4 linked regions of the Astyanax mexicanus genome follow. The protein of the gene in region 4 purifies or fractionates together with the protein of the main gene of each other region. This does not show direct contact. Links are inferred from orthologs where the notes say so. Each region holds a gene or a part of one and is shown on either strand. Other genes may lie near its edges.

Region 1 (7,735 bases), on a different chromosome or scaffold from region 4:
AAATTTCCAGCAGTTAAAAAAAAAACATACCTTCAAGCTACAACATTAATGTTTTAAAAATAATTGTTTATTTTTTATTTATTTTACTCGGATAAAAACACTCACACATTGAGGAATAGCAGCATGAACTCTCCAGGCAGGACAGAGCGTTTGGCTCCACAGAGCTGAAATTCCAGTGTGTTGGCTTGTCATGCTGGTTGCCAAGTGGCTAGCATTAGTGAGCTCTGCTAGGGTGCTTCTTCGGCGGAGCTGTTCTTTATGGCCCTCCGCAGCGCCTCTAGCGGTATGGCGGTATGTAAAAAAGGCATACTGGTTTTAATTTCCCCTACGGAAATACCATATAAACTGGTATACTGCCCAGCACTACTGCAGCCTAGACTGAAGAACATGGCAAAAATCTACAGAGTTGGGGTAAAAAAAAATAAAGGTGCATCCAGAGATTTCTGCTCTTGGATAACTTCTTCATCGGTCTTAGACTTTAATAAGCTTGGTGGAGCTATAGCAATCATAGTTAGAAAATGACTAGTGGTGCTAAATATTATAAATTCTTTAAGATATTAAACATAGTCCCAACCATATAACCCATGGGTTCTTCTAAACATCCACAAAGCATTACAAATCCCTTCCAACGAATAACCAAAGGTACTTTTCTCCCTTTTGAGATAAATCAGTAACTTTTAATTTTTAAGATTCTTATTTAATCTACATTTTCTCCAAATTTAGCTAGGCCCACCCATTCAGCTGCAAGGCAGCTTTATATTCCCCATCACAGGTAATGCCACAACGCAAGGAGGGTAAAAATAGCTCATGCCTCCTCTGACACGTGAAGTCAGCCGCCTCTTTTTCAAACTGCTGCTGATGTAGCATTACCGAGTAGCCAGCACACTCAGAGGAAAGTGCAGCAACTCAGTTCTGACACATTAACTCACAGACACCTTCTTCTGAAAATGGAAAATAAGAACAGTGCAAATTTTCCTTTTGAAAGGAAATGTGTGATATAACTTTCCTTATGTGACACTGCATATTCTTTATGCTACTCTCCACTGATCTAATTCACTTAGTCTTCATCACTTTGCACTATGCAATCTCTTATAGAGACATACTTAGCAAAAACACCTGCCACCTCCAATAAAAATCCAATTATGGAAAGTAAAAAGCATTGATATTGGAACATTTCTGTGAGAATCTGATTGCATTTAGCAAAAGGAGCATTAGTGAGATGTACAATCACTCCAGAGAGAACACAGTCCCAGTTCAGAAGAAATGTGGTGGAAATTACTGTATGTTTTTATTATTTTAATATATATACATATACTGAAAAAAGATTGAATGTCATTAAAACATGTAGCCCTAATAGATGTAAATGGAAGTGCACTGGATGAGTATCAACACCATCGGTTAACTTACACCACTCACACCAGTCTGCACATACAGAAAAGCTCGTTTTACAGGAGGGATAAATAGCTAGCGATGTGACACTACTGACATCCGACTGATTTTACTGCTTGTCAACACAGTTGAGACGAGATATCTATGTACCATTATGGCAGACGATGCAACACCAAATTTGGATTCCAAAGAGGCGTTTTATAGCGTTTTTTATTCAAAAAGAAAAGAAGAAGCTGTTCTCCATAAATGACAACAACACAGTCAAGTTACACCACTGTCACCAGACTACTTTCACTGCTAGTCTGAACACACAAGAGGCTCATTTTGCTGAGATATCTATGTGCCATGTTGGCAGACAACAAACTGCGATAAAAGGGTGTTTTATAGCTATCAAATTAAATCACATTTATTTATATAGTGCTTTTTACAACTGATATTTTCACAAAGCAGCTATACAGAAATGTGACCACATAACAGAAAATCTAGCAAAAGATTGAACATACACTACAGAACCCCCAGTGACAGATGAAGAAAAAATAAAGGGGTTACTCTTCATAAATTACAACAACAACACAGCCAAGTTAATGCTACTCCACTGAACCCAGACTGCTTTCACTGCTAGTCTTAACACATAGAGAAGCTTGTTTTTATTACAGAAGAGATATATAGTTATGTCATGAAGGCAGACTATGCCTAGGTAACACACAACACCAAATTTAGATTGTTTTGACGTTTTATAGCTATAGTTTTTTTCAACCATAGAGAAAATAAAAGGGCTGCTCTTCATAAATGACAACACAGCTAAGTTACCTAGCTACACCACGTACACCAGACTGCTTTCACTGCCAGTCTGAACACACAGAAAAGCTTTTTTTTTTATTACAGAAGATATATATATATATATATATATATATATATATATATATATATATATATATATATATATATATATATATGCCATGAATGCAGAGTATGCCTAGGTAACACACAACACCAAATTTTGATTGTGTGGCGTTTTTTTTCAGACAAACAGAAAATAAAGGGGCCGCTCTCCATAAATGACAACAACACAGCTAAGTTAGTTACCCAGCTACACCAGTGGCACCAGCCTGCCTTCACTCGCAGGTTTACTGCACTCTGTGTTTATTGTTTCTGCTGGTAAATCTAAAAGACACGGAACCGGTCGGTGTAGCAGCACAGCAGAGATGTCAGGGGCATTCTCTGATATTTTCAGACAGTCAGACAGCAGGGCTCACAGGCCTCACTCAGCTCGTTTTGTCACCGAGTGGTGAAACTCACCCGTCTTTCCTCTTGGCTTTGTACACATGACCGTACGTCCCTCGCCCCACTTTGCATCCCTCGTACTCGAACAGGTCCTCCACTCGCTCTCTCTCTCCGGTCAGCTTAACTTTGAAGTCATAGTCCATCGTCCCGGGCGGCTGTGGGCAGGTCGGGGTGTGTTTGTGAGTGTGTGTTTGTGTTTTTCTGATTGTTTTAAAGCGCCGCCAGGGAGGCAACTTACTTCCAGCGCCGCTCACACAATCAGTTGCCTTCCCTCGCGTCGCTTCAGCTCAGCCGCCACATGTACCCCGGGCTGAGTGTGAGTGAGGAGGGGTAGCGTGTTTTTTTAACGTGTGCTGAGGTGAAGCACCACCATATGTGGCTCTGCCCCAAATAGTTCCTTTAGATTTTCTCTCGCAACCGGTATCTCACTCGGGAGAGCAGGCTCCGCTTACGGCAGTGTCGCAAAACCGTCGCTCGCCTGAAAACCCCCGAAATCCGACTCGTGTGAACCGGTTCCGTTGAACGGCTCTTTTTGACTCGTCTGTTGAACCGATTCATTTTACCCCCGTTGGAATGGAAGCTATTTTGCAGGGTCCACGCCAGAGATGACCATACCTATTGTCTTAAAGGAAGAGGGAGGATGAGCGTGTGTTTGTGGTGGGTTTGATGCTGCTGGTCTAAACATATTAGCAAATGATTCCAGTTAAAATGTGTTTAATTATAAAATAATTAAATTACACTATATATAAAATTACAAATGTAATAGGTTATTATATAAAATACTAATAAGTCATGTTGTGGCTGGGAGTCACACTTTGGGCAACCCTAATTATATATTTATATCAACGTATCCCATAAGAGCACAGACTCATTTTTGAATACTGATACCAAATTCAAACTAAAATCTGATTATTTCAGTGAGCAGCTAATTCATGTTTGTTTCTGATTGTGGGTACATGACTGTAAATATTTTAATGCTAAACTCCTGATGTAACACAACAACAATTTCATAAACTTCATAATATTTTAACATTTTTATTCTAGAATTTGTTTCAGATATAGTTATATAGAACATCAAATTATTAATTAAAGTATAAAGAAAAAATCAAGTGAAATAAACGAACAGAGATTCGCAGACTGTTCTGTAATGATGCTCTTAGGATGTTCAGTATATGTCACTTAGGGACTTCTGCATTCAAATGCAATGACTCTGCAAGAGAGGCTACGAGAACGAGGTAACCCGAATCGTGCGTTCGACTCTTTCGAACGGATGAGTTTAAATGAACCGACTCGGCAAACTGAATCGAACTTTTCATTACTAATGAAAAGACTGGGGCTTTGTGGAGGCACCACGTGGATGTTAACTCTTTACCAAACGAGTATTTGAAATTAAAAAAACGACTATTTTGCGTCTTAAACTTGCGTTCGCTACTTAAGCATTCGAGTGTAGTCTCTGTATAAAGCTACACTCCACGTCCTCTTCAACGATCTTCACTCAGAAAAAACAATGGCCTTTGTTTGGCACTGACACCAAGAGACACCCTGGTCCCAATCTCACACAGCTATGTGTTAGCTAAGATTTAGAAGGACAACATTATAGAAAAGGTGAAAGAAAAAACAACAAAGAAAGATGAGTAATTTTAGACAATATACATTTTATTGGAATATTATAAAAAATATTTGCTATAAAGTATGTTTGCACCAATTTCAGGCTTTAGCAGCAAATACATATGCGATGTGCCTGTCTACGCTTTAAAATACTTTAAAAATGTAGAGAAAATTACTGGCATTTCTAGTTATATTTCTAGTATATTTCCACTATACGAATGGAAAATATTTTACTGTGATTTTAAAGAACTAAAAATAAATCATAATAATAATACATATATGCATATATACACAGTGCAACAAAATATTTTTTCCCAGTTGGATATTGCAAATTTACAGTAATTCCAGAAATAACTGTGATCTAGTAATCTCAGTAAAAAATGTAAGGAAAATGGTATGATCCAATATATGTACAACAAAAACTCAAATTGCCAGTTGAATATTGCAGATGTACAGTGTTGTAATGTAACTACTTTTACTGTAATTGTACATAAATTCTAGTAATATAGAAGCAGTATGATACAGTAATAAATGTAAGGGAAACATTGTGATCCAGTAATCTTATAAATAAGTGTAAGGAAGACTATATAATACAATATATGTACAATAAAAGACCAATGTCTTTATAGTTGAAGAGCCCACTAAATATTAAAACTAGTAATGTCTTTCTTAAATAAATAATTGAAATAATTAAATGAAAAAAAAAATGTTTGGGGTGAGTGGGTGTGGGGTGAAGAAGAGGGGGTGCTTGTGAACAGGAACGTGTGTGCAGCGCGTCAGGTAGCCGGCCGGACGCGAGTGTGTGTGGCTCCGTTGGTCCCATCTTAGCTCTACATTGTAATCAGAGCGAAGAGGAAAAAGAGAGGACTCGTCCATATTATCGCTGCTGTTTCAGGTACTAGACTGGCGGGTTTATGTGTGTCTCCGCGGCTCTCTTTCGCTGAAAGCGGCCGGGTTGTTGTTGGTGTGTTTAGCTGTGTGTTCGTGGCGGGACCTGTCTGCTGTCTAATCGGTTGTCAAACCCGCTTTTTGGTTAGCTGTTGGTTATTAGCACGGCGGCTATCTGTCGACACCAGCAGAACCGGCTGCGCAGACAGAATGACAGCTCGCTGTTCGGCCTCGTCTGCGCATGTCGTACTATAACGTGGCCACGTGTTATTGCTGCATGTGAAGTGTGATTTTAATAACGTTTTAAAGAGAAGTCGGGGCTTCTTCATTGTGCCTCGGTTAGAAACGCTCACACGGTGCCCGACTTTTCTTAGTCACGTACCGCCTTCGGGCAGCTCTGATTGGGCATTCGAAGTGCCAGTCATCGCTATCGACTTGTTGATTGGCTGCTGCGCTGGCTACGTCAGCGTGTCGCTCTGCTTGCTTTACATTCTTCGCCTTGGCCTACTGTGTTAGGTTATATAGCTCCATAGTCAGAGACAGCAGAGGTGCTGGTGTAGAAAGGGCAGCGGTTTATTTACGTATATATTGTTAATTTTCGCGTTATTGTGTTACTGTCGTTAGGGTGGCCACATATTTAAAGCCTGTTACAAACAAGCTTTAAAGATGTGTTGTTTAGAGCAAATCCAGAGAGATTGGTATATGTTGGTATGCATTTATTTTATTTATTTAACTCATTTAACCTAGTGGTGCCATCCTTCAAGTGGTTGCTGTGTGAGATATTAAGGAGCTCTGTTGTCTTGTTAATTAATCAAGGTGTCACTTCATGTTTTCTGACAGCAGTGCGTGCGTTTAATGTGATTTTTGCTGTCTCATGTCTATGCTTCTAGCCTATTTTTTTTAGACCTGCTCTGCTCAGTGGTCCTGCAGGACAGTCAGCTTTTGTCTTTCATTTGTATTTTTTTATTTTAATCAGTCTAATTGATCTTATGAAAGTACTTTAAGCATACATAAACAGTTTGTTTTGCTATTAGGGTTGAAAAGCCTCTGAGCGAGTGTGCTTTGGGTCATCATTCTATGATTACCTTCTCTTCATTATTTAGAGATTAATATAGAGCTCTTTATGATCTTATCATCATAAATTTTTTTTTTATAATGGTCATTTTGCAGTTCACATACTGGCATTTGTAATCGCACCTTTAATGATGTTCATTTTTGTTATGGTCTTGAGGTCATTGTATCAGCAGCAATAAGCAGGTAAGTGCACATAGGCTTGCAGCTCTAATGTTGAACCCTTCTGTTTGTGGGACTGTTGAAAAACAGCGGTTTTCATGGTGATGGACCCTCCCGGCGGGCGAGATGAGCGTCGCCGTCAGGCTGAGCGTCTTCGGCGGGAGGAGGCATACTATCACTTCATCAACGAGCTGAGCGAGGAGGAGTATCGGCTGATGAGAGACAGCAACCTGCTGGGCACGCCTGGTAACCTCATTCACACACACACACACATTGGCACAGTATTTAAAATGTCTTGCTTGAGCACTCATTTAATGTAACTCATTATATCAGCAGTGTTAAAACCTTGCTTTATTTAGAAATGATGTCAAATGTAACCTGTATTTGTCGCTAAACAGCCATCCAGGCTTATTATTCACGACACAACTGCAAACAAAGGCGATAGTGGCTGGCTGACAAATGACTGTTTCTCTTAGTTCAGTAACTTTTAAAGACTGTGAACTTGCTAAATATGCCTCTACTATACACGAAAAGACATTTTTGTGTATAGTAGAGGCATATTTAGCAATCAACGATCTCACACCAAGAAGTACACTATTTTAAAGTAGCCTCTGAGAACCTTTTTATAGGGCCTCATCTGCCTGAGACATAATTTTAATTGATGCACAGGCAAAAATGTAGATTGTGCTTTTTATCTCCTTTACTCTAGGTGAGGTTACAGCTGAGGAGCTGAGGCAGCGTCTGGATGGAGCTAAGGAGCGCGTGTCTTCCCAGCCCCGCCCTGAAGCACACCTACAGAACAGTGAAACAGGACAGGAGGGCAGCAGTGGTGAGTTCAGAGGATTCAGGGAGGGCTGGAGCAGGGTTCAGAATGCATGTATTGGGTTTTGTGGCAGCACTGAAATAATTAGTGAAAAATAGGCCATGTTAAAAATGCTTTGGTAAATAACGCTTGATTTATGATAGAAATAATCATTACTTGCAGCACTTTTGAACTTTGGGCTTAAATCATTGATTGTTTCACTGATCTGGCCTAACAGCCCATTATTTAGGCCAAAAATATCCTCTTTTCTATTTTTATTTCAGGTGCTGCCGAGCCTGGGACAGAGAGTGCCAATGGTGACTCTCTTCTGGAGTGGTTGAACACATTCCGTCGCACGGGAAATGCCACCCGTAGTGGTCAGAGCGGCAACCAGACGTGGCGTGCTGTCAGTCGCACGAACCCCAACAGTGGCGAGTTTCGTTTCAGCCTTGAAATCAACATCAATCATGAGCAGCCTGAGCCAGGGGAGCACAGCGACGTGCCAGACCCTGCCGACCTTCCTGTTCCCCC
Region 2 (8,377 bases), on a different chromosome or scaffold from region 4:
ATATCAACTTAAGCTTTTTACTCAAAAGTGTAAAAGTACTGGGTTTAAAACTATATGTATATATCCAGTACCAGTCAAAAGCAATCAGCAGAGGATGATATATATATATATATATATATATATATATAGGAGGTGATTCAGTTGAGTTTTTTGTCTGAACTGAACAAACCATGCCCCAAAAATTAAGCTCCTTTATATCAAGGTAATGCTCGCATGTTTTATATAAAAAACTGATGATCCAAACTGCGCTTATTTGTTTTTTTATTTGCCAAGTGAAACCCAGAGCTTTATAACTGTTCACATACTTTTTAACAATGTCTTACTAGATTTAGGGAGTTAAGTTTGCATTTAATTTCTAAACGCCTGAAACATACAGATGGTAAAACTGAAAACCTGTTTTCGCAGAGAAGTCCTTCATAACTATTTAAGATATAAGATGTATAAGATGTACATTTAATACAGATAAATAATGTGAATATTTCAGTTATTCTTGTATGAGCAGTAATTAAGTTGAAACAATCTACTCCTTCATGAAAAAAAATATGAAATTAATATAAAAAATGTTAACTCTTTTTTTCTTAGAAGAAAATCATTATAACATTATGAAACCACACATTGTGTTTTTCCAATGAATTGATAACTTTTTATCACAATGGGGTGTAAAATACAGATGGTTAAACTATTACCAATTTTGTGGAAGGAGACTTATCTTGACAAACTATTTCTAACAAGAATAATCACCCATAAATTAAGCTGGTCTAGAATAGTAGATATTTTGTTATGATACATCATAGAAGGCCTTACCACCCACAGTGTACCCACAGCGCAGAGGGTAGTAATGATCAGGAAAAAAGGCATCTGGTTTTAACTGTCCTTGTAAACAGACAGAACACACATCCACATTTAATGAAGGAGACACCAGAAGCATATTCCACAGGTCAGTGCAGCATTCTTTAGCTTCCATATGACATGCCAAATTCATGGGACGGAAAACTGCATTCTGCCCTTGAGATGTGGCATATATTAACTTCTGTGAGGTATAGACTACTGTATTAGTGAAGACCTTGTCTGGGCTATGTCTAAACCTTCATGCTATTCAACGCTTATGTCTAAACCTTCATGCTATTCAACGCTTATTAATATGCTAATATTAGTCGGCATATTTGACATTAATATTGGACATGTTTTGACATAATATTAATCATGTTTTTAAAATTTTGTGATACAACCAAGAACTGATTCTATTTACTTTTCATTCGAAAAGGAATTCACCCAGACATTTAATTTTATGAAAACATTTATTTCTCAACTATGAAACACTGCGAACACAAAAAATGTATAATCCAGCAGAAGGAAAAGGGTGAAAAACATCTCAGCAAAGGAGAGTGTGGAGAATGCTCAGTCTGTAATAAAACAATACAATAATGTCCAGATGTACTGCATGGGTTATGGCCTTGAATATACAAAAAGATATGATTCAATACTGAAAGCTCCGTTTGGTCTGAATATCATCCAGAATCTGCTGCAACTCCTCGTCCTCAAATCGACCTTCCAAGCTAGAAGAGAGGGAGAGAGAATGTGTGAAAAGCCAGAAAGCTTCATTAAAACCTTAAACTGTGATGTTCTGAACTAGGACTCACCTTGGAATGAGTGCTTTTGCTTCTTCTGCTGCCTCTGGACACAGATTGGCTAAACTTGCCAATTCAAACTTATGTAGCTTCTTTTGTAGGAGTAAGCTGTAAAACAAGCACATAACAGGAATGTGAGTTAGATTTAAAGAAATAGGTGAAAAGCGCTGTGAGTGATGGAAACACCAGCAATTAGTAATTGTTTAACATGGCAACAGCTGAACTTGCAATATTTATTTTGTCCACATTTTTTATTTGAGATTAAATGTTAGGTTAATTTTCAATGTCTGCATAATTTCGATTTTTTTAAAAGCCAATTAAACCTTCACCCATCGCACAAAAAAAATGTTAAAGTCATGTATAACTAAAAGAATTACATTGTTTTCCTCCTTACCCCAAACAATTTTATTGACTGGTGACTAAACGTATATATATATATTTTTTTGTAGGTTTCATCAACGCTGTCACTTCTTTCAAGAATTATTGATGTCTTGCTTATCAAAAAAAAAAAAAAAAAGGATTGGTACAAATTATTTTTTTTTCACTTTCAGCATTTTGTCCAAATGACAAAATTACACTCTTTTCAATAAAATTTGCAGTGCTCTTTATGTACTGGAAACATTTACAATACACTATACCAACGTAACCTATTAGAATATGATTAAAAATATACACTTCATGCCCACCTTATAAGAAAGCTTATTTTGAATTATTGATAATTTACTGTTTAGTGACATTTTTTAGCAGCAGCTTAAACTTGCTTCAAACAGTGCCAGAACTAGCATACTGGTACCCACCTGCGCACGCTGGCGATCGTCTCGCGGTTCTTGAAGCGACTAAAGCGAGCCGTGTAGTTCAGGGTCTTCATGAAGACTTCAGAAAGCTCCTGCTCGTCCTCCGCGCTCTCGTTCTGCTGCTTTCGGTGCTCAAGAAGCATGTGAACCTCAGAGTTCAGGAGCGTCTCTGAATTTTCAAATTCTGCACAAAGGTGAAAAACAGGTTAAAAAGGTGAAAAACAGAAAAAACTCTGTCACCACCACTGCTTTCTGTCAGACCCACATAGCCATTACCAGGAGACAAAGTCATATAGGGTGGACAGATTGTTTCTCATGTCTCAGCGTCTTGAAGGAGTTCCTGGAGGTGCTGAACAATATGTACTGCCTTATTTATGTGTCCCTTAATTGTTTTCGTGTCTTAAATATTAATATACCATGTAAAACGTTAAATTAATTAAACAGAAATGAAGAAAAATATTAAATAACAAGCTGTGTATAAACTTATGGTAATGTATAGAAGGAAAAAGACCTATGATATTTTTAAGACCCCTTAAAAATTATGAGGTTTTTTTATTTTGCAAGTTTGAATACCTCTGGAATATAATGAATATAATGTAGAGGAGGATGGATGATTACAAGCCATCAGACTAAGCTAAACAGCTTGAATTTTTGCACCAGTAAAGGCGTAAAGTTATCCAAAAGCAGTGTGTAAGACTGGTGCAGGAGAACATGCCAAGATGCATGAAAGCTGTGATTAAAAACAGGGTTATTTCACCATATATTTAATATTTTAAACCTTATGAATATGAACTTGTTTTTTTTTCATTAATTAGGTTCTGAAAGCTCTACATCTTTTCTGTATTTCAGACATTTCTCATTTTCTGACAATATTTTTATTTGGAATTTGGGAGAAATGTTGTCCATAGTTTATAGAATAAAACAATGCTTATTTTACTCAAACATATAACGTTACCTATAAAAAGCAAAATCAGTATTAGAAACTGAAGTGGTCTCATATTTTTTTCCAGAACTGTATATAAATATATAAGTGTGTGTTTTATTTCAGACCTTTAGGGAAGAGCAGCTGAGACGCGTCCTCCTCCACATCCCCCACACTCGCTGCTCCCGCCGCTCCGCTCGCCATTACCGCTCGAGCACAGCGTCCAGAGGCGGAGAGGAGATAAGCACCCTGTGCCCGGGCTACACGCGGTGTGTAATAATGTGAGAGTGCACTAATTCCGCTTTAAAACACTTTACACTACAGCAACAAAGCAACACAGCTCGAGTACGGCGCCCGAACTCACCAGCACACACTCACACACCATCACAACCAACCTTTCCGCTTCCGATTCGGCTCCAGAGAAAACTTCAAATTAAAAGTCTTCCTCCTGCTTTCATAACGACAAAAAACGGAGACACATTTTTTGCCAAAGGTAACCAGGTTTTTAAACCATTTTAGACCCTGCGTCCATTACTATGGAAGCCCATTCCCGCCACCTAAAAAATAAAAATAATCCAGCATTTTTTTATTATTATTATTAAGTAAACTGCTATCTCAATATTTTAAGATACTATCTCAATATTTTGACTTAGTATCTCAAAATATTGACTTAGTATCTCAAAACATTGAGATAGTATCTCAAAATATTGAGATAGTATCTCAAAATATTGACTTAGTATCTCAAAATCTTGACTTAGTATCTCAAAATATTGAGATAGTATCTCAAAACATTGACTTAGTATCTCAGAATATTGAGATAGCAGTTTACTTAATAATAATAAAAAAAATGCTGGATTATTTTTATTTTTTAGGTGGTGGGAATGGGCTTCCATAATTACAATAGACATAATGAGACCTGAGAATATACCATGAACCAGCCAATAAAAAGTTTACAAGCCAAAAAAAAAAAAAAACACAGGTTAGCTCGGCGTTCTGTCGAGAAGTGCTACCCATGAAAATGTGCCTCTCAACATCAGTGCGCATGCGCGGAACCTTTTTTTTATTTATTATTTTTTTAAGGTAACTCTGTTCTTCTTGGGTGCATTAAACAACCGGAAACCCCTTGCCATTATTTATCAACTGTTTTATATTCAATAAATAGTTGATTTTTATGAACATTATTGTCTACTATGACCTAAATATCATCTATCAGCATTTTGTACTATTGAGATTCCCTCATTAAACATGATAGGAAGTAGACTGAAATATAGAAGGAGAAGCTAGGGGGAGTCCTGAGCATATATAACCGAGACCAGAAAACTTTCTTAACCTTTACTTTTCAAGCGAACACATCTTAACAACTGGAACAGTATGTTAGAACCATAAATTAAAAGTAGATTAAAATGCCACTGTTGTTTATAGTATTTTGTTGCAGATAATTTGCCTGCAATGACTGCTTGACGTCCGTGATTTATAAATGTCAGCAGGTGCTGAGAATCTTCTTTAATAAATATATTACAAAAAAAGAACAAAATAAGTAAGTATATGTATATTTTCAACTTTATTACCCCAATACCCCGTTAATATTTTAATTAACATAAACATAGTACAAAGTCAAAAGTCATCTAAATGTAGCCTTTAAACTGATGTAGTTTTAAATGGAACAATATATATATATATATATATATATATATATATATATATATATATATATATATATATATATGATTATTTTATTTATTTATTTATTTTTTCAAAACTAAAAAGCATAAATAATGGACACTTCAATTTTACCACTTATCAGAAAATGCCAGTTGTAAAATGTATCAAACAAATGCATAGGCTTTAAACAATTGAAAAAAGTATAACATTTAATAATTTATACCAAACGCCAAATGCTTAGAAAGGAAAAGAATGGAAGTGACAAACAATTTTTTTCTTCAGATTTTATTAAAAATATGTATGAAAATTATTTTATGAAATAAAAAGCATTCTATAGCTTTATTAAAAGGCATACTGTAATAAAAATACTTTCTGATTTTTTTTTTTATTTGAAGCTGTCACACTAAGTGCAATAACACAGTTCTCTGCTAAATGTTTTGTAAAGTCAGAGCTGCTAAAAGCTTCTTTAACTGTCCTGCAAAATAAAGCACTTCTCAGCGATACTTAACGTTATAAAGCACATGATTATAATTTTACTGTAAAATCTCCACATCTGACACTCAAAGAGTGTCTATCACTGCATGTGTTTTGTCCACCTCACCAGGCTTGGCTGTGAAATACACAATGAAGAAAACGGATCAATTAGTTATTAATCAAATGTTAGAAGAAAGAAATCTTGGTCTCAGTGCAACTAAAAGTGTAATTGTTATAAATGATTCTCATCTCGAGCTCTGTAGCATTTGACCCCCAGTATGATGGTCGCCAACAGATATGGAGACGCTGCCATTGAAAAACTGAGCAGATGGAGCACTGAGAATGGAGCTTCTGAAGCAGATGCACCTGATGATACTTAAACACACATAAAACCCCCTTTTCTTCACTGGAATGTGGTACAGAAATTATTGAAAGATTAATGTATTATGCATTTTGTATTGTAATGATTTGTTTACAGCAGCAAACCTCTGATGGAGATCCAGCTCTGTGGACACTTTCCTTTCTCTGGGATTTTACAGTGGTAGAGACCTTCATCTGACTTTGAGACAGTAGGGATGATCATCTCTTCTGTAGTCGAGGTCTGGAGTAATAAATCATCTTTATAGAAAAAAATTGTGAGATATGAGGACTTTGGGTTACGATATAAACAGCGAAGAGTCAGAGGATCTCCCTCAGTTACCGGATGAACAGGACTCTCCAAAATTACATCTCTATCTGCAGAAAAAAGAGAATATAGAACATACAATGATCAAAATACTTGATAAAACTACTTGACTTGATAATTGTAACTTCTAACAGTGACCAATATAAGATATACTTTCACAATTTTTAAACAATATTTACTCTTACATTTGATATTGTAATGAGGCACGGTGAGTTTATATGGTCCACAACTTGACCTTTTATTGGAGTTCTTTTTACAGACACGTTCACGAGGTACAGGCTACGCTAACACATACACAGGCTTCACAGTTCCTTTTTTTCTAGCTTCTTCTTGCTACTGATCTGACGTCACCTCAACAGTCCAATAAAAACTTAGTGTAGGTATGCCACTAAATTAGCTGACTTTTTTATTAAACAACTGTAACAATGCGGGACAGATATATTTACATAACCCTCATAATTTGATCTTAATAAAAATGTCTATCTGAATTTTTGTTCCACTGTTACTAAACTCCTGTTATTTAGTAGAGTGAGATTAGTGTAGACTCACTGTGCACTGTGATGGTGACAGGATTGCTGCTCCCTCCAGATTCAGACTCACACCAGTACACTCCAGTGTCGGTAATGGAGAGGGAGCTAAAGCTGCATGTAAATCCTGTAACTGATCCCCAGCCTGATGAACAGTCCTTCACATTCTCAACCAGTGTGTATCGTCTCACTCTCTATCCAGTAGAGTTACGCTGTTTCTCACAGATCAGTGAGAGAGAGTCAGAACTGAAATGTTGAGATCTGCTGGGACTGACGATCAGAGATACTGAAGGAGAAGAAACTGAAATGCAGAAAAATCTCAGTGTTTCCCATCATGCTGCTGAAGACGATCAAAACTAAGACCTGTATAACTGATCTGATAATTACATTAAACAATAGCATCTATACACATCTATATTTACTTACCGGTGATCAATAGATGCTGTATATTGCTGCTTTTTGTGTGAAAGGCTGGTTCTCCTCTCTCTGCACTGCACCAGAAAAGTCCTGTTTGACGAAGAGCAGCAGGGCTGATTGAGTAGGTTCCTCCAGTTCCTCTGCTGATCTCTGAGGTGTACCGCTGATAGAATTCATATTTGTACCAGTTGAAGTTCCAGCCTGTAGAAGAATTTCTGACCTCACAACTTAGAGTTACTGAGTCTCCTTCAGTCAGACAGTTCTGTGGAGACACACTCAGCACTATCTTGGCTGATTGGAAATATAAGGATATGTTATATATAATAAAAGCCCTGTTTAATGGAATCACCTGATGTTCCTCAAAAACACCACAAAACTCACCAGATACAGTAAGAGTAACAGCATCACTGATCTCTGATCTCTCAGAGTCTCTCCTCCTCTCTCCTCTGCAGGTGTATTCACCACTGTCAGACTCTGTTATATAGCTGATTTTATACTCCGGAGATGTGTTGGATGTGTGAACAGTGAGATTATTCTTATACCAGCTGAATGTCCACTCAGTGTCTCCTCCTCCCTGCACATCACACCTGACAGTGACCCTCTCTGCTCTGAACACATTATTATCAGGCTTTATGGACACCACAGCTTTTGGTCTCTCTGTAACAAAATGAATTAGTCACCAATGTTGCTTTAATTAGTAGTTTTTAAAGATGACCCAATTCAGATTCATTTTTTTGTGTATGTTTTTGTGAAGTAGAAGAAATAAGACAAAAATTCATCTTGTGTTTTAATATATTGCTGCATTTTAGGCCATGTTTCATAAATAATTATTATTGCATGTAAGCGTAAGAATACATGGATTCAAATGTTATGAAAATTCACCTTGGCTTTGTCCAGAGTGTATGAGTACAATCAACCCTAAAAAAGAGACAGAAATAAAGGAAATATGTGAATATGTGGTCCTTGGTCCTTTGACCCAGACTGTGGCACCGTTGGTGCTAGAGCTTAGATCGGGCCCAAAAAATCCGACCCGACCCAGCCCGAGCCCGTGCACGTTCTGCCCGAGCCCGAACCCCACCCGAACCATGAACTGTCATTATGAGCCCGAGCCCGTCCCGATCCGCGCCATAAACTGGCTGTTTTCGGGCTCATTGAATGAGCGAAATATAATCGGAATTATGTTAATTAACACTGTAACATAGCATAAAACTATTATTTAATTAAAATAATTTTTAAGAACAGCTACACACAGTCCTTCAAGTCAAACA
Region 3 (8,605 bases), on a different chromosome or scaffold from region 4:
GTTGAGTCGGTCTTGCCATAACATGGATTAGAACATTACTTAAAAAGAGCTATTCACTGTATACCAACTGTACCTCAATTCAATTCAAGTAATTAACTCCTGATGAGTTCAGCGCAGCTGTTAACTGAAAGCCTGAATTCCAGGTGACTCATAAAACTGACTGAGATAATCCAGCCAAGATGTGCAAAACTGTCATCTAAACAAGAAGTGCTACTTTAAAGAAACTGACATATAAAACTTATTCCAGTTTGTTTAAGACTTTTTTGTTTCCTAAATAATTCCATATGTTTTTTTTTTTTTTTTCATTTTTTTAAACATTTTTAGTCTAAACATTTTTAATCTACAATGCAGAAAATGTTAAAATAAAATAAGTCACTGAATTTAAACTGTGTCCAAACGTTTGATTGGTACTGTATTTGAAAACACCAATTGCCTTTAATGGTGCAACATTTTTTTTTATTATTATAGTAAAAAAAAAATGCATTAAACTTTTAAAGTTACTGTTTTGGAGATTGTGATCACTGATGAAACAGTATCTAGCTAAAAGCTAAACTGTAAAAGTGAGAGAGAGAGAGGGTCTTTACTCACTGATTAGGTTTAAATCTGTGTTTTTGCTTATCTGCATCCGCTCTGTCCAACACTTCTATATAATGTGGTTTCTTCTGAGACTGTGTGGCACTGAAGACGTTTCTAGGTGGAGAGTTAATAACAGTGTCTCTCAGAGGACGATTCTTTTCCTCAGACAGATTGACCCGTCCAAGCGCCTCCACCAGATCTTCTGCACCGCCAGCAGGTGTGGACGCCTCCATGACGCCCTCTGTGTTTGGCTGATTCGTTCTGCCGGTTTCCAGCAAGTTTTCCTCCTCTTTAACAGTTTCTCGCTCAGCATTCCTGCGCTGAGCTAAAGCCTGCTGATACCGGACCTGAAATTCTGTTCCAATAGCGGATAGACTGGCCTGCTTCTCCTCCTCCTCTTCCAGAGCTTCCAGCGCCTGCCGCACCTTCTCCACAAAGTCTGTAATCTTCTTCCCCTTATCCGGAAGGGTCTGAACGAACCTCCTGTAGAAACCACACAAACACTATTAGTTCATTTGATAAAAACAGTGTAAAATCTCAAAATATGAACGCGTTTTTTATTAAAATTTAATTTATATCACACTTATGTTTAGCGAATACGTTAACCTTAGGTCAGGTTTACACTACATGATTTTAGCCCAGTTTTTCAGTCGCAGACAGTTTTTTGTTGATCGCAAAAACTCTGCTCAGAGGCAAATCAGGGATCTCTCGGTGCTCACACAGTTGTGTAGTATAAACTGCTGAAAGATGCTCGCTGAGGCGATGCCTGCCAAATATTTGGCACGTCAGATATCTGACCCAGTCGGTGACTGGGATTCAGAAGCAGCGGCCACATACTACCAATGGAATTACAGAGAAAGAGAGAACCACGGGTCCAAAACGCATTCCCTGCTTTACCAGAGCTGTTTATAAAGAGTCTGACCTCATACTGCCCCCACTTTTATATCAGTAAAAGAATGTTAAACTCTAGATGGAGCCCGCGAGTGAGTGCTATATAACTGGAGCTGAATGGAGCTAAGAGCTGAAAAAATTAAAAATAATAATGAACTACATGTTCATTATGTAATCATGTTGAAAGTTCTTGTGAAAAATGTGTTTGTGAAGAGCAGCCAGGTGAGTCAGCTATTTCCCACAGTGGGAAATGGTGTAATTTGTGACCCTTTCTTACATACGTTTAGCAAGTTTTCCTTTCCACCTTCAATGCAGCAGCAGTTATATAGTAAATTTTCATAAGAAATTTAAACCCTTTTTTAAAGGTCTTTTTGACCTGACATTGCGTTAAAGTGTCACAGCTGAGTGTATATTCACATTACATACACTATTGTATTATTAAATAACAATATTAATGAGATTAAAGTTAATCTCAGGTTAATTCTTCATGTAAACTAACATTTTTAATAATGGTAGGCTGTGTGTTACTTTTAAAATTACAACATTAGATCTCTAAATTTTTTAATATCGGAACAATATCTGGAAAATATGTTACATTTATATTAATATATGTTTCCTTTTATCCAATTAATAATCAATAAACCAAAATATTTCAAATGATTAAAAGATTAACAGAATATTAAACGAATCGTTAGTTATCCATAATTATTGAATCAATTGACAGGCCCCATAGAGCTCCCATAGAGCTCACATCCCAATTTATATGCTTTGCTTATATTTTATTTTGTGACTTGACATCATCACGATTAAAATCACCTGCCGGATTATTACTTATTATCAGCTGTAAAAGATACTACAGCTTGAGCTTGATAAGAGCTTCACTAAATAACAAACTCCAGCAGTCAGAGGGGATATACAGCACCAGTCAAAAGTTTGGACACACCTCTTCTTATTTTCTTTTATGATTTTTACATTGTAATTTTAGAATGGAAGACATACAATGAAGATATACAGGAACACATGCTGAATTATTCTGTAAATAAAAAGTGGTGAACAAAACAGAATCTGATTTATACTTTAGATTCTTCTAAGTGCCACATTTAACTTAAAGGACAGATCTGCTCACTCTTGGTATTTTAATTTCAGGAATAGTTTTGAATGAGTCTTGAAGGAGTTTCTGGAGGTGCTGAACAATAGCTGCTGCTTTTTCTTCACGCTGTGAAGCTCCAGCTCATCCCAATTAAATCACCTCAAATCATCATCTCAGTTCATCAGATTTAGATCAGGGGATTAATGTTGAGGAAAAACACTTATTTACTGTTTACTACATAACTCCCTTAATTGTTTTCAAGTCTTCAATATTAATCAGTTGTAAAGTTATGTAGAAGTAGAGTTATTATACGGTGAATAGCCTTATTTACGTAAAGTTCTAATCCATATTATGGCAAGAACTACTCAACTAAGTAAAGAAAAAAATACTTTCTTTTCAAGAACTTTGAAAGTATCGTCAAGTGCAGTCGAAAAGACCATCAAAAACGTTATGATTTAACTGGCTCTCATCAGGACCACCCCAGGAAAGGAAGATCAAGAGTTCCCTCTGTTGTACAGGATAAGGTAATCAGATTTACCAGCCTCATAAACCACAAGTTAACAGCTCCCCAGATAAGAGCTTCACAGAGTATTTTGGTTTGTTTAAAAACTTTTAAGTTACTACATGTTATGTGTTCCTTCCTAGTCTTGATTACTTCATTATTCATTTACAATGAAGGAAAATAATAAAAATAAAAGCACTGAATATAAGGTGTGTAAAGTGTTGACTGGTTCTGTGTATAAATATAATACAGAGTTCTGACTTGTTGAGGAGGATCTTCTCCTGTCTGCTGAGGATCTCCTGCAGCTCCTCTCTGCTGCGGCCGCTCAGCTCTCCCGCCAGGCCGGACATCTCCACCTCACCTCGCCTCACTGCGGCGGACTCAGCCTGAAACCTCCAGCGGCGGTAAGAATCATTGCAGAGCGCTGAATTCACCCGAATTAATCTAATAAATACAGAAAAACTCTATAATAAACTCTAATATTAAACTCTACAGTGAATCAGCTCAGAGCCTCACAGCTAACCCGCTCACAGCACCACCGCCACTACCTGACAGTGAAGCGTGCCACTGCTAATTCAAAATAAAAGTCCCAAACTAAACTACACTCTCTCTCCTGCTCTCTCCGAGAGAATAAATAAAACATACACACACACACACGTATATATATATTAAATAAAAGTAATGATAGTGGTATAATGTACCAATAATTTATGTAATATTAGTTTTGCTAGTAGTAATAAAACTAAAACAAAAAACCCTACTGTTTTCTTAAAAGTGTATATTAAAATAAAAGTCTCTCGCCAAACTACACGCTCACTCCTACTTTCTCTGATAATAAATAAAACACACTTAAAATCTTTTCCTAAAGAATTATTAAAGTTAAATAAAATTAAATATAAACTGCTATGTCTGCTGTGTCCTACAACTTACACACTTGCTTTCGTAATAGTGAAGCATTTTTATATATGGAAATTGTTCGAGAAAAAGGTTTTGGTTAAATTATTTACATCTATAAATATACATCAATAACTCAAACTCAAACCAAACAAAAAGGCAAAAGTTTAGACACTCCCTTTTACATTTAATGTGTTTTCTTTATTTTCTACACGTATATTTTATAGTGAAGCAATCAAAACTTAGCTTCTTCAAATTTCTTACAAATATTGAAGAATCTAAAGCATAAAACATAATTGGCTTGTTTAACACTTTGTTTTTGTTTGCTTCATAATTGCATATGCATTCTTTTAATATTAATCTACAATCTAGAAAATAATACAAATAAAAAATAAATATTAATGAGTGTGTGTCCAAACTATGATTAAAGACTTGTACTGTGTATCAATATGTAGAACATAACATATATTTAGTTTATTGGGTATCCCTTCCTACTATAAAGTTAGGTTTCTGATGTTCCGTTACCAGCTTCTGTCCTCCAGACGGCGCTGCAGTGGTTCTTTATGTGATCTATTGATGAAGATTCCTGCTCTTGTTTCCAGCAACAGAAGGTCAGAAGCTCTCACACTTTGTGCAGATAATCTCTTTATTAAAGTTGTACCCTTATAAACACACACAGTGGCAATGTGGAGGGATTTGGTCCTCGTCTCTTGCTTCTTTCTGGCAGTGAAAATGATCTGATGCCATTGGCACACTTCTAATAATCCAGCCAATTACTGACCATCACAGCGCTGTATTACACCCCACACCTCTGACTTACAGGGAGCCTGTTATAATATGAATACTACTACATTATACTACAAGATATTATTTATTATTTATTTGTGTAAGAAAGTAATTCAAAGCTGTAACCAGAACATTAGGAAACTGAAAATAAACGTATAAAACTGTAAAATACAGAGTAATACAGACTTTCCAAATTCCATACCATAAAGCCAAATATACATATTTGTAAACAAAATAACAAAAAAGAAAAAGTGCATCCACACATGCTACTAAAATAAAATTTATAAAAGTTATTCACAGATCAGGATATAATTTAATTTATGTTACAAAATGAAAAGGAAAAATATATACAAATACATATTTACTGTCTGATTCAGGGCACTGCACCCTTCACTTCACTTTAGCTTATTCTACATTCAGTTTAGCTGTGATCTCCATTAGCCTCATAAACGGCGTGTAGATCTTGGATGGGTTGGATGTGGCCCGGCTCTTGCTGGAGGAGGAGGACAGTTCTGACTCTGGGGAGGATGAGGAGGAGGATGATGATGATGATAATAAGGTCACTCCCTCATCACTGGGCCGGGCTGAATCTGAATGTGTGGTGTTTTCTGTAGGACTAGTAGCAGTGTCCCGAGTGTATGGCCCCGTGAGCATGCTGCTGTACTGTAGCGGTGTGTATCGCAGTAAACTGTAGTCCAGTCTGCTCGGGGGTCTCGGCGCTGACGGGGCGGGCCTGGACTGGACCGGAGTCTCAGAGGCCTGAGCGTCAGGCCGGCTGGGAAAAGCAGAAAGAAATTAGAAGTGCTTGTGAAGCTTTTTGTAAAGCTGTGTGATTATATAATTTAATGTATTAACATATTCATGCTCCACCCACAAATGTATGGTTAAATAGATTCATGTTTGTCTTTCTGCTCCAGAGAATTCTATTCTAATGTAAAAATGACTGTGTAAGCAATGGAACACAATTTAAAATATTTAATGTATTTATTAGAAAATACACTGATAGAAAATATTTTACCCCGTATTATAATAATTATATCTGATATGTAAATGGCTGTAGCTGTAATCTGATTATATACTAAGTCTTGCCACAAGATTAAATTGCATTAAAGTGCTTCTTACACTGCCCTATAAAAGGCTACTTTTGGATAGTGTACCTCTTGATGAGAGATTGTTGACTGCTATGCATGTGTTTATGATGCTCTCCAAGACAAGTTTTGAAGGTTAACAATTTAGTATTAACTAGCTGAAGGGGTTGAAAGAATGAGAAACTGTTGGACGCTCTGTTTTATGTTAAAGCTATTCCAAAGCACCTGTGTTGTGTTTTTAAATCAGGTGTTTGTTTGTCGACTGCACAACTGCATGTCTGCATTAAGCTACAATTTGTAAATAATAGAAATAAGGAATAATTATTACTGATCATCTGTCCAAACTTTTGACAACTTTTTAACTTTTATATATATATATATATATATATATATATATACACAAAAAATTAAATATTAAAAATACTAAACTCTGTTTAATGTTAAAGCTACAGTTGTGTTAAAAAATATTCAACCCCCACTGCAGTAGTGTTTTAGCAAGTTTAACATTTATTTTTTATCTTGTTCACAATCAGATCAAATATATCAAATATACTTATATAATAGACAAATGCAACTTAAATTACAACAGTATTTTTTTCTAATATTCCAACAAATGTCCTTTTTGTGACTTATTGTCAAAATTATTCAGCTCCTTTAGTCAGATTCAACATTAGTACTTAGTATAACTCTCTTTTGGCGGTAATAACGTCCTTCAGATGTGAAACATAGTTTGACACAAGTTTTTTGCAGTGATCTACAGGTATCCTAGCCCATTCCTCACGAGGAAAGGCCTCCAGTTCCTTTGACATTCTTGGGCAGAGGTTTTCTAAAGGATTTTAGTTGGGCGATTGCAATGGTCACTCCAGAATCCCCCAGCCCTTCTTCTACAAACAAGCAGTTCTGGCACGGGGGCCTTCCTCTCGTAGTGTGTGCCTTACGGTCTAGGCCAAAACCTGAGTACCTTCCTCTGATGTCCTGTCGCAGTTTCTCAGCTGTCAGCCAGGGGTTTTTCTCCACATTTCGTTTCAGGTACCAGAGAGCAGTTAAACTTGCAAAATATGCTTATAATTGTGTCTCTTCGTGTGTTTAATGTCTTTGCTCCCTTTTTATATCCATATCCTTGCTTATGATGAGCAATTCTCTAGATTTATTTGACCATTCCCTGGACTTCCTGATGCAATGACACCATTAACTGTCTAGATGGAGCTGAGTATCTTCTTTTAAAGTCATTTTAAATCTGTTTAAGTGCTGCTCGAAAAGTGCTGATTCTAATCACCTACCTTTCAATGCCTGATTGAAACTTCTGTTCTCAAAAAAGTGGTCATCTTTAAGAGGTTAAATAATTTTGTCAATGAGGAAATCACAAAAAGTACATTTATTCGTATATTAGAATTATTAGAATTATTAATTGGTATATTAGAAGTATATTTGTCTATTATTCAAGTCTTTATTTGATTGTGACCAAAGTAAAAAACACTTTATTGCAGTGAGGATGGAACAATTTTGAATACAACTGTACATAGAATTTGGACCGTGTATATAACACGTTTTGATCTTAATATTTTAACATGTGGCCTCAATATAATATATTGACTAAATAACTGATCTAAAACGTCTGATTAATCTTTTGTGAGTGGTTGTTTCTTTTATCTTTTTTATATGCTTAGGTTTTTATTCATTTAATTACTTATTTAATTATTTGTATGTATTAGAACTGTTTGTTGGTCCTATTAAGACCACATGATAGTTTAGTTTAAGGAACAAGATAATATATTGAGGACAGAATAATATTTGGAGGCCACAAGACAATATATTGAGGTCACAATAAAATATGTTGAAGAGATATGATAAAATATTGGGGCCACTAGATAATATATCAAACATACAAAACAATACATTAAAGCTACTAGATAATATATTGAGGCTAGAAAATTATATATTAAGGGCAAAATATATTATATTGAGGCCACATGTTAAAATATTAAGATCAAAACTTGTTATATTAAGGCCACAAAATAATACATTGAGACCATTACATAATATACACTAAGGCCACAACTTAATATATTGAGGTCACAAGTTAATGTATAGAGACCATAACATAAGAAATTGAAGCTACATGATAATATATTATGGCTATAAGATATATTTTTTTAATAATATAATAAAGCAAAATAGTAGTACATTATGGCTAAGATGATATACCGAGGCCATAAAATAATACAATTAATAATATTTTTCTGTGCCTTCAATATATTATCTTGAGGCCACTAGAAATGTAATTTGTGATCTCAACCTATGATCTCATGGCCTAAAAATATTATTTAATGGTCTAATATGTTAAAATATATAAAGATTTTGTATTATCAACAATAACCAAATATATATATTAAAATATTGATATTTTGCTTTTTAATTAGGTTCAATGGGACATTTCCTCCAAATTCATTCCCAGTTTGTTTGTTGCAGCTCCTTAAATGGCCTAGAAACCAAGATAACATGATTATATGACAACAAACTTCATCAAGCACAAAAACATTTTGACCACCTCCTTATTTCTACATTTATTATGCATTTTTTGGCTCCACTGATCATATAGGACACTTCGTAGATCTATAATTAGAGACTGTAGTCCTGTATCTGTTTCTCTGCATTTTACTTTTATTTTTATCCTCTTTTTACCCTATTCTTTACTGCTGAATCAGATACAGCAGTGCTGCTGGAGTTCTTAAACACTGTGTTTAATCTCTCACTGTTCTCCACTCTATTACACACTCC
Region 4 (8,099 bases):
TACATTTTTGTTCATATAATAGTTAAAAGAAAATAGCAAAACAATGGATTTGCCACTGAAATGGATTTCAGTTCAAGGTAGCTGCAAGGTGGTTGCTCTGGTGTAGCTAATGGGTTGATATGCTGTTGCTAAATGGCTGCTATTATATACCAGCTGGTTTACTCTAGTGTTGCTTTTGTGGTTGCTAAGGTATCCCAAGTGGCTGCCATTGCTTTGCTTTGACAAAGTGACTGTTACGATATTACAGGTGTTTGCATGACATTTCTTAGTGGTTGCTAAGGTGCTGCTAAGTAGTTGCTAGGCAGTTGTTATGATATCCCAGGTGCTTGTTAAAGTGTATCAGTTTATTGAGTGTCCTTTTACTACTCTAATTAACCCATTCTGCAAACCTGTTAACCAATTTTACAAATTACTTATCATAACTTTAAGCAAATTAACAAATACATTGTAAAATGTTTAACCAATAATCAGGTTTCCTAACAACTCTCAAAATCTCATGAGCATTCATAATACAAACCTGTAAAGCAGCGGTAGATTCTTCACTAGGCAGCGAATCGATCAACACATCAACATCTTTCGCTGTCCTTGCAATCAGGGCTGCAAAAAGCTGTGCATATTCTGTGGCAAAAAAGACACAGCGATTAGCCTGAAGCAGCATGGAACAAACAATCACATTGGTTTGAAAACATTAATAACTGCCTGTTAAGCTTTAATAAATGTGTCACTGTGAGATGATGAGAATTTGTTTGGACCTTCTGTGGGGTTTGATGGCTGGTCCTTGTTGATGGCTGTCTGAATGTTGCTGAAGGAAGCAGGTGGCGCACATTGCTGCAGAACTCCAATGGCATTGCAGAACTGATCAGCCAACTACATCACGCAAAATCAAGACAAACATAAAACTGAAATTTTACTGCATGTAGAACTCAAATAAAACCCCCCCAAAAAAATCACAATTTTTGTAAATCACTCTGACTTTTGGGTGTGGAGGAATCTGATCTGATAACATATAAACTCTTACATTAATATTGTTTTCTACCAGCTGCAAATCAAATGATATAGTTTATATTGAAACACTAACATGTATACTATTTTTAGCATATGTTATTGTAGTGTTTCTGATGAAGTGAGTAGAGTCACACATGGAACTGATGAGCTCTGTCTGGCTTTAGTTACTACTGAGCCTGGTGTGGTTCCACAGTAATGAAGTTGGTTTAATGAGAAGTCTGAAGAAAGGAGAAAGGTGGTCTGGGACACCAGACTTGACTGTTGAGACTTTTAATGGTGTTGCATGCTTTATTAGGCAGAACATTTATGAAGGTGATAACTAGAGCCTCTGAAGTAGTGGGTGATTAGAGTAAGTAATCTATTGTAATGTAATTCCGACTAGTAAGAACTGTAGTTTTGGACATCAATATTATTATTATTAATCTCAAATTATATTGCACATATACTACAAATATCCTAAATGCACTTCCACCAGTCAAAAGTACAACCCTCCTTGACACAATGTATACCCTCAGGCAACAAACCATTTTGTTGTTTTTTACACAATAGCATACTTTACCTTATTTACCTAATAGTTAGTTTTTTTTTGGAATGTTACAATGCATGTCTACTTCAAATACAATAATGTGTATGTGTGGGCCATAAATAAAAATATTTATGTGCAAGATATTCTTTTATTCTTCTTGTAAAGTTTCTAAAACAGTGTTTTTTCCGCTGCCTTCGGGCAACATTGTGTAATAAAGCAGTGGCTCTCATTTCCTGCTAAAATTGAGATAGAGAGCCAAAGAGGTGCTGATTAAACATTGTTAATACTCAATATTCATTTTACAAATATGTGTACATAAAGTCTTTCCTAGTCAGATAGTGAAAATATCTGAAGATAACATTAGTAATGTAGAAATCAATCAATGTTAAGCTACATATAACTAGTCAAAATGACACTGTGTCATTCTGGTAATATGACTAGTCAAAATATCTGTATAGATCAGTAGGTCTGATATCATTACTGGTAAACATGTCATTACTGATATTTTCACATTTTTTTAATGTACATGTTTTAAGATTAAAATCCTAATGTAATACAAATAATAGAACAACAATTTCAAAACTTATTTTTAACATTTTGTTGTAGCAATTACTAATCCTACGGAAGGTAAAACATTTAATCAAAGCAGTTGAATTGTTAAATTAACGGTTGAAACAAACCCGTAGAATTAAAAATACACTTTTAAAATGAGCTAGTTATATCTCCAGCACTCCTACATTCTCTAAACGAGGTCAGATGAATGAACTGTGCTGTAATTCTGTCAGGATGTTTAGTAGCTAACCTATGTGTCACTAAGGGACTTCATGAGATAAAATGACTGAGAAAGTGCTTTACTTGACACATCATTTAATGGGTCTGTGAGACGAGTCACCATGGGCTCTTTTGGGTTAACTAGTAAAACCTAACCCATCTAAACGAGCTAACCTATCTATCTATCTACATTGAGAAGGTCCTGAATTGTACCTTTTTTCTGGTAACTTAAGTACTGAGCTCGAGCTGTATCACTACTGTCATTTTATGCTAAACGACCTAACAGAAATTAGCTTAACGTCAGTTAGTGTAGCCTTGTAAGCTAGCGTAGTAGTTAATACAGTAGTAATACAGAAAACATTTAAAGATATTAGGTCTTGTTTCGGAGAGACTAGCTAAGTTATTAACTTAGTTAGATACCGCGAATATCTGTCATGCCAACAAGTCTGGATTTATCTAGCGGCGACCAAACGTGTCTAACATTAATGAACTAACTAACATGTATTATTGCATAGCCTATCTTTAACATGTCTAGTTGGCCGGCTAGTTACTCCTCTAGCCCATCATAGCTGTAGCGTTAGCTGTATCTGGCTAACGCTCGCCGCAGTTTCATTTCAGTCATGAGTAAAAGAACAGCAGCACCTCCCATTCCCCACAAACACACCAACTGAGAACTAGACCTGCTTTTTACCTCACACAGTGCGACATTCGTAAAGAATTAACAGTTTAAAACACATAATTTTGATCTTACTGAGTTGACTGCGTCCTGCAGCTGTGTTAGCCTGTCCGCCATCTTTTCTGGTTATCGCCCCCCGCCGGCCGGAGGGCTAACGTCGCGGGCGCGCTCACGTGACCGTGGGGGCGAGATGGTGAGAGCGTGAGCGTGAGTGTGAGAGAGTGTGAGTATGTACAGGAGAGAGAGAGAGAGCGCGGGCTGACAGTGTGAGAGAAGGAGAGAGGGAGCGAGCGGCGGCTGGTGGTGGTGGTGTGTAGATCATGCGCCAGGCCTGCTGCTGCTGCCGGAGGAGGCTCGGTGGAGGTCTGCTGCTGCTGCTGGCCGTGTCCGTTGTGTGTGTCGGGGATCCGTTCCTCGGCCCGAGGGGCAGAAGATGAGCTCTGTGATCGGGAGAAGAGCTGCTGGAGGAGGTGGAGGTGGTTTCTGCGGTTTACTGTTTGTCGTCCTTTCCTGTCTTCGGGTTCTGCAGGCGCAGGATGAGAGTAAGTTTCTCTTTCGGGCTCCTGAGCTCTGTTTACACACTTGACAATCCGCATAGGAACACAAACAGCAGCTGCGATTTCTGCTGAAGTTTCGGCTGAGACGCTTTAAACTGTTAATCTGAGTAAACTAAGATAACATAACCTGGCTGATCTGTGCAGAAACCGAATAGAACTAGCTAGAAGTGAACTAGATTATTTTAGCTGTCTGATTGTGTATACATGTAGGTTAATTCTGAAACGGACCTCTTGTGTATTATTCGAGATTTGTTGAATATATTTTGTATTTTATTTTTTTAGGACCACCTTAAATAGATCCACGAGTAACTACAGGCTGTAGCTCAGTTCACAGCGCCTGAGAGACAGAATGGGGGGACTGCTGCTCCATTTAAGGTGGACTGACACAGTCGAACATGGAGACACTTGGGGTTAGCTAACTGTTAGATAGCCAACTCTTGCCTTTTTCATGTATACTGTTAGCTAGCTATCTTGTAAAAGGCTTACTTTAAGACTGTCTCTCCCTTTCTCTCGTCTTGTATATTAATTTACTTTATTCTGACAGTAATTTGGCGGGATTTGTCTGTGAGCATTAACCCTCACGTGAGCGTGATCTAATGGTCAATAGTAATAGTTCAAAGCAGTGGTTAAACCATTTCAGTGTCCTTTCTATTAGGGTTGCGCGATAATATCAGAATTAAATAACTAAATTGGTATGGGCCAAAATGTCTTTTTTTTTATCACACTCATCTGACCATTTGGGTGATATTTCAAACCGTTTGACGTATTTATTGTATGTAAAAAAGGAACCAAGAAACCCTGGCCACACTAATATAATTGGCTGACATTGGCCATGCTACTTTAAAATCCATTAATGTTTAAAAAAGGGTTTAGAGCAGTGAGTCTAGGTGAGGACCAGTTAAGTAAATGTGAAAGCAGAAAATGTGAAAACAAATTAAATTGTATTGTTAGCATACAGCTGGTTGAAAAAAAAGCAAATAAATGTTACATTTGTTTCCAAAGTTATACTAGAGTGTATAGTCTTTCTCTCTGTTATAAATGTGTATATCGGTATCGGCAGAAACATAATGTCAGATATCGGCCTAGAATTCCGACGTGTGCATCCCTACTTTTTATTTTGATATTATTTGAGCCAAATTTGTCTTCTTTAGATGTGAGGTTTCTGCCATAAATTTTCTGTCCTGATAGTCTAACAAGAATAAGTTCTTGCTTCTTTACTTTATATTATATTATTGTTAAAAATATGAAACCACTGTAGATCATAAACTGTTCAGAAGAACTAAGTTATCTATATACATTTATGTGTTTTTTTTCTGGGTAGTTGAACAGTATTTATGTACTCCAAGGACAAAGGTATTGAAACTTACTACTGATTAACTGATTCTTCAAAAATCAACACACATTCTCAGCTCCCCATTTTATGCCAAATGTACTGAATTACTACTCTAGCCCACACCTGGCATTAGGCATGCCAGTAGGTTTATGTTTTTTCTGCTCCAGAGAGTCCTGTTCTATTGACAGTAATTCTCTGCAGGGACTAGAAAAGCTGTGTGTGTATTTGCACATTTGTGTCAGCAATGGAGACAACATAAAGTGGTTTACTGCAGTCACTGGAAGGCCTATAACTAGAGCTGGGCGATATGGGAAAAAATCTTATCACGATATAGTTTTCCATATCAGTCGATATCGATATGTATCACGATATAAATCAAATCACTTTGTGTCACACTTAAAGGTTTGTTTTTATTAGTGAGAGAATAAGGGAGTGATGGAAGTTTTATCACAATATTTTTTTCTGTATCTCCATAATTATTAGGGCTGGCCCGAATAGCATTTTTTGAGCTCCGGATATTTGGCAGTAATTGGTAGCGAATATTCCAATATTAGTTTAAAAAAAAAAACAAATTAATCATGAACGCGAGCCAGAACCCGAGCTTGAACGTCAGCCTGACTCAGGCGCTGCATGAACTCGGGCTTTTTTCCAATTTTTTCCAATTTTCCATGACTGAAAAAAAACTTGGGCTATAAGCTCAATATTAAATATTTCGTTTGTTTAGAAATTATTTTATATTCTTAAACCATGTTAAATTATATTAGATTAGTAGGGCTGGCCCGAATAGCGTTTTTTGAGCTCAGAATATTGGGCACTGATTGGCAGCCAATATTGGAATATTTGTTTTTAAAAAGACGGATTAAAAACTGATTAAAGTAAAACAAAAATTGCAACTCGGCCCCTTTAATTCACCACAAAGTTTTCCAAGACCCAGCCGGAAAAAAAAAGATTTCCCACCTTTTCCTCAGCTGGGTCGGGCTCAAAAAATGATTTGTGATAGGCTGTTTTTTGGTTTGTTTGTTTAAGCACTTAGGCTTTTGTACTGCTGCAGTGCAATATTTAGATTTTATATTCTGAAATTCGTTAGGTTTTATTTCTTTTAGCATTTTGAACTTTTTTTCCAATTTCAAATTTATTTTTTTCTGTTCGTTATGTTCTATCGGTCCTTGCGTTTTTTGTAGTTGAAGTTGAATTTAATATTGAAGTTCAATATTTCTAATTTATATTTTGAAATTCGTTAGATTATATTTATTATTGTATTTTGAGCTCACTTTAGTTGGTTATTTTCCAAATTCATATCTATTTTTCTGTTATTATTAAATGTTATTAGCTTATTAGCTTAGCTTGTCATTTAGCATACAGAACTTCTCACGGATTTTTAATGAATGTTGATTTATTAATTTAAAAGCTGTACCTTATTAAAAGTATTTTAAGCCAGACAGACACTGTGTGATTTTTTAATGAGTTTATCTGCACTTTTAAATGGTTTGTCCTGTAGGAAACGCACACGATTTGTATGCTGACACTGTTGTCTGACTGAGGAGCTGCTTTCCGTCAAATGCAGCCTGTAGGCAGGAAAAAATCCAGCCAGAACCGACCATATCATGAGCCAGTTTTAAAGCCAGTAATTTAGTAGAGCATTAAACTACAAATCTGAGATGTACCTGCTGTACTTCTTAATCTCTGCCCCCAAAACGGTCCATTAACTTGCTTGACAGACGCGTCAAATCCCCCGCGAGCACGCGCGGCGCACAGCGCACCGATTAATTCATGCGTTGAGCTTTAAACGCGCAGCTGAGCTGTAATTGGGGAAATATCACAAAAATCACAGTGTGATTTGTTACATTAAAAAAAAAGACCATTTTCTTCCGCCTAATCTGAGAGGAAAGCGGTGTTCTCGACCGGCCCGAGTTCATGCAGCGCCTGAGTCAGGCTGGCGTTCAAGCTCGGGTTCGGGCTCGCGTTCAGGCAGATAATCTAAATGATAAATGATTTTGTGTTTTTGCACTTGGGCCATAAGCTCAATATTAAAAAGTTCGTTTGTTTAGAAATTATTTTATATCCTTAAACCATGTTAAATTATATTAGATTAGAGGAAAGTCATTTAGACATCATTCTTAAGGTGTTTTTGTCCTGTTACCGCTCCGCAAAAAAACCTCTTCCTTTAATCCGCGCCCCACATACACATTTTTGCAGCACCTGCCCCGAGGTCCTAATATAAATTGAATTAATTACATTTAGTGCTTAAAATTTACTTAAAATTTATTTAAAACGTGCTGAACAGTGCGGCCGTTTATTCCCAAAGTGTGTCGGGCCATACTCCACTATTCTTTAGGGTTTTTTGTTGCATGCATGAGAATAACTATTACAATTTTCTTAACTATTTATTAATTTGCTCCAGCGTCTTCTGGATTGATTACACGTTGTGTTTTCGTTGTTTGCCGCGCCACTTAGACGGAAATGGAAATGAATGTTTATCGAATTCTATTGCACAGGCTTATCATCGTCATCGAGGGAAAAATTATCGCGAAACAAATCGATATCGTTATATCGCCCAGCACTACCTATAACTATCGCAACATATAGTGTATGTGTAGTTATGATATGATAGGTTTAATCTGTGCAGTTTGAAAATTTAAAACTGCATATTTAACTGTTTTAATCTGTAGCATTTGATGAGTTAAATCTATCTAGTTTGGACTGTTTTCATGTGTAAAGTTTAATGTTTGATGTTATATATATTTTTTTGGATGGTTTTAATCAGTGTAGCATACTAATGTGCCAAATCACTACTATTGACATATAATAAAAGAGTGATCTGGTTTACAGAGGTGCTAAAACCGTTGTATTGTTTTATTCCTTGTAGTTTCAGTAACTCAAACTGGGTAAGTGCTGTGACGTCACAGTCCATGAAAGAGTTGTATGAAGACTGGAATGTAGACTGGAATAATTTAAACCCTTAATCAGCAGCTTCACTGTGCTCTAGCTTCTAGACTTCTGTATATGTAGACTCCTCTGTTACTGACTAACAGGAAATCCCTCAGGGATGTCACACCTAGAAACCACAAGAGTCCTAAGCTTCATCTTTCATCTTACTGAGTGAAAGCTCTGCACCCGGAATTGTTTTTAATCCGACTGTTGCAAGAAACTGAAAACAGTGAAATTTAATTGTTCTGTTTTTGTTGCATTAAACTAGGCATTTTGTTTTATTCTAAGGGAAAGCATTGATCA

What was found.
Region 1: the proteins of med21 (region 4) and cdk8 purify together in Homo sapiens (affinity purification with mass spectrometry; 14 studies listed by BioGRID and IntAct, counting the BioPlex papers as one, with this or other methods). This does not show direct contact. The link is inferred for Astyanax mexicanus from reciprocal best matches to the Homo sapiens genes MED21 and CDK8.
Region 2: the proteins of med21 (region 4) and polr2d purify together in Homo sapiens (affinity purification with mass spectrometry; 4 studies listed by BioGRID and IntAct, with this or other methods). This does not show direct contact. The link is inferred for Astyanax mexicanus from reciprocal best matches to the Homo sapiens genes MED21 and POLR2D.
Region 3: the proteins of med21 (region 4) and polr2m purify together in Homo sapiens (affinity purification with mass spectrometry; 3 studies listed by BioGRID and IntAct, with this or other methods). This does not show direct contact. The link is inferred for Astyanax mexicanus from reciprocal best matches to the Homo sapiens genes MED21 and POLR2M.

What each region holds. Positions count from the first base shown.
Region 1 is NC_064408.1:96,296,824-96,304,558, reverse strand, and holds the start of cdk8 (cyclin-dependent kinase 8), read right to left. Parts: upstream 3,146-7,735; 5' UTR 2,817-3,145; coding exon 2,689-2,816; intron 1-2,688. Other genes in the region: E3 ubiquitin-protein ligase RNF6, read left to right, coding at 6,501-6,648, 7,112-7,231, 7,489-7,735.
Region 2 is NC_064415.1:11,612,420-11,620,796, reverse strand, and holds polr2d (DNA-directed RNA polymerase II subunit RPB4), read right to left. Parts: upstream 3,788-8,377; 5' UTR 3,549-3,787; coding exon 3,473-3,548; intron 2,607-3,472; coding exon 2,426-2,606; intron 1,737-2,425; coding exon 1,641-1,736; intron 1,557-1,640; coding exon 1,478-1,556; 3' UTR 1,280-1,477; downstream 1-1,279. Other genes in the region: high affinity immunoglobulin gamma Fc receptor I-like, read right to left, coding at 5,953-6,081, 6,181-6,215, 7,119-7,766, 7,992-8,027. UniProt on the Homo sapiens protein: Core component of RNA polymerase II (Pol II), a DNA-dependent RNA polymerase which synthesizes mRNA precursors and many functional non-coding RNAs using the four ribonucleoside triphosphates as substrates.
Region 3 is NC_064430.1:31,677,325-31,685,929, forward strand, and holds the start of polr2m (protein GRINL1A), read right to left. Parts: upstream 3,618-8,605; 5' UTR 3,410-3,617; coding exon 3,321-3,409; intron 1,060-3,320; coding exon 589-1,059; intron 1-588. Other genes in the region: myzap (myocardial zonula adherens protein), read right to left, coding at 5,145-5,514.
Region 4 is NC_064409.1:37,875,222-37,883,320, forward strand, and holds the start of med21 (mediator of RNA polymerase II transcription subunit 21), read right to left. Parts: upstream 3,159-8,099; 5' UTR 3,096-3,158; coding exon 3,054-3,095; intron 868-3,053; coding exon 753-867; intron 619-752; coding exon 518-618; intron 1-517. Other genes in the region: tm7sf3 (transmembrane 7 superfamily member 3), read left to right, coding at 3,412-3,520. UniProt on the Homo sapiens protein: Component of the Mediator complex, a coactivator involved in the regulated transcription of nearly all RNA polymerase II-dependent genes.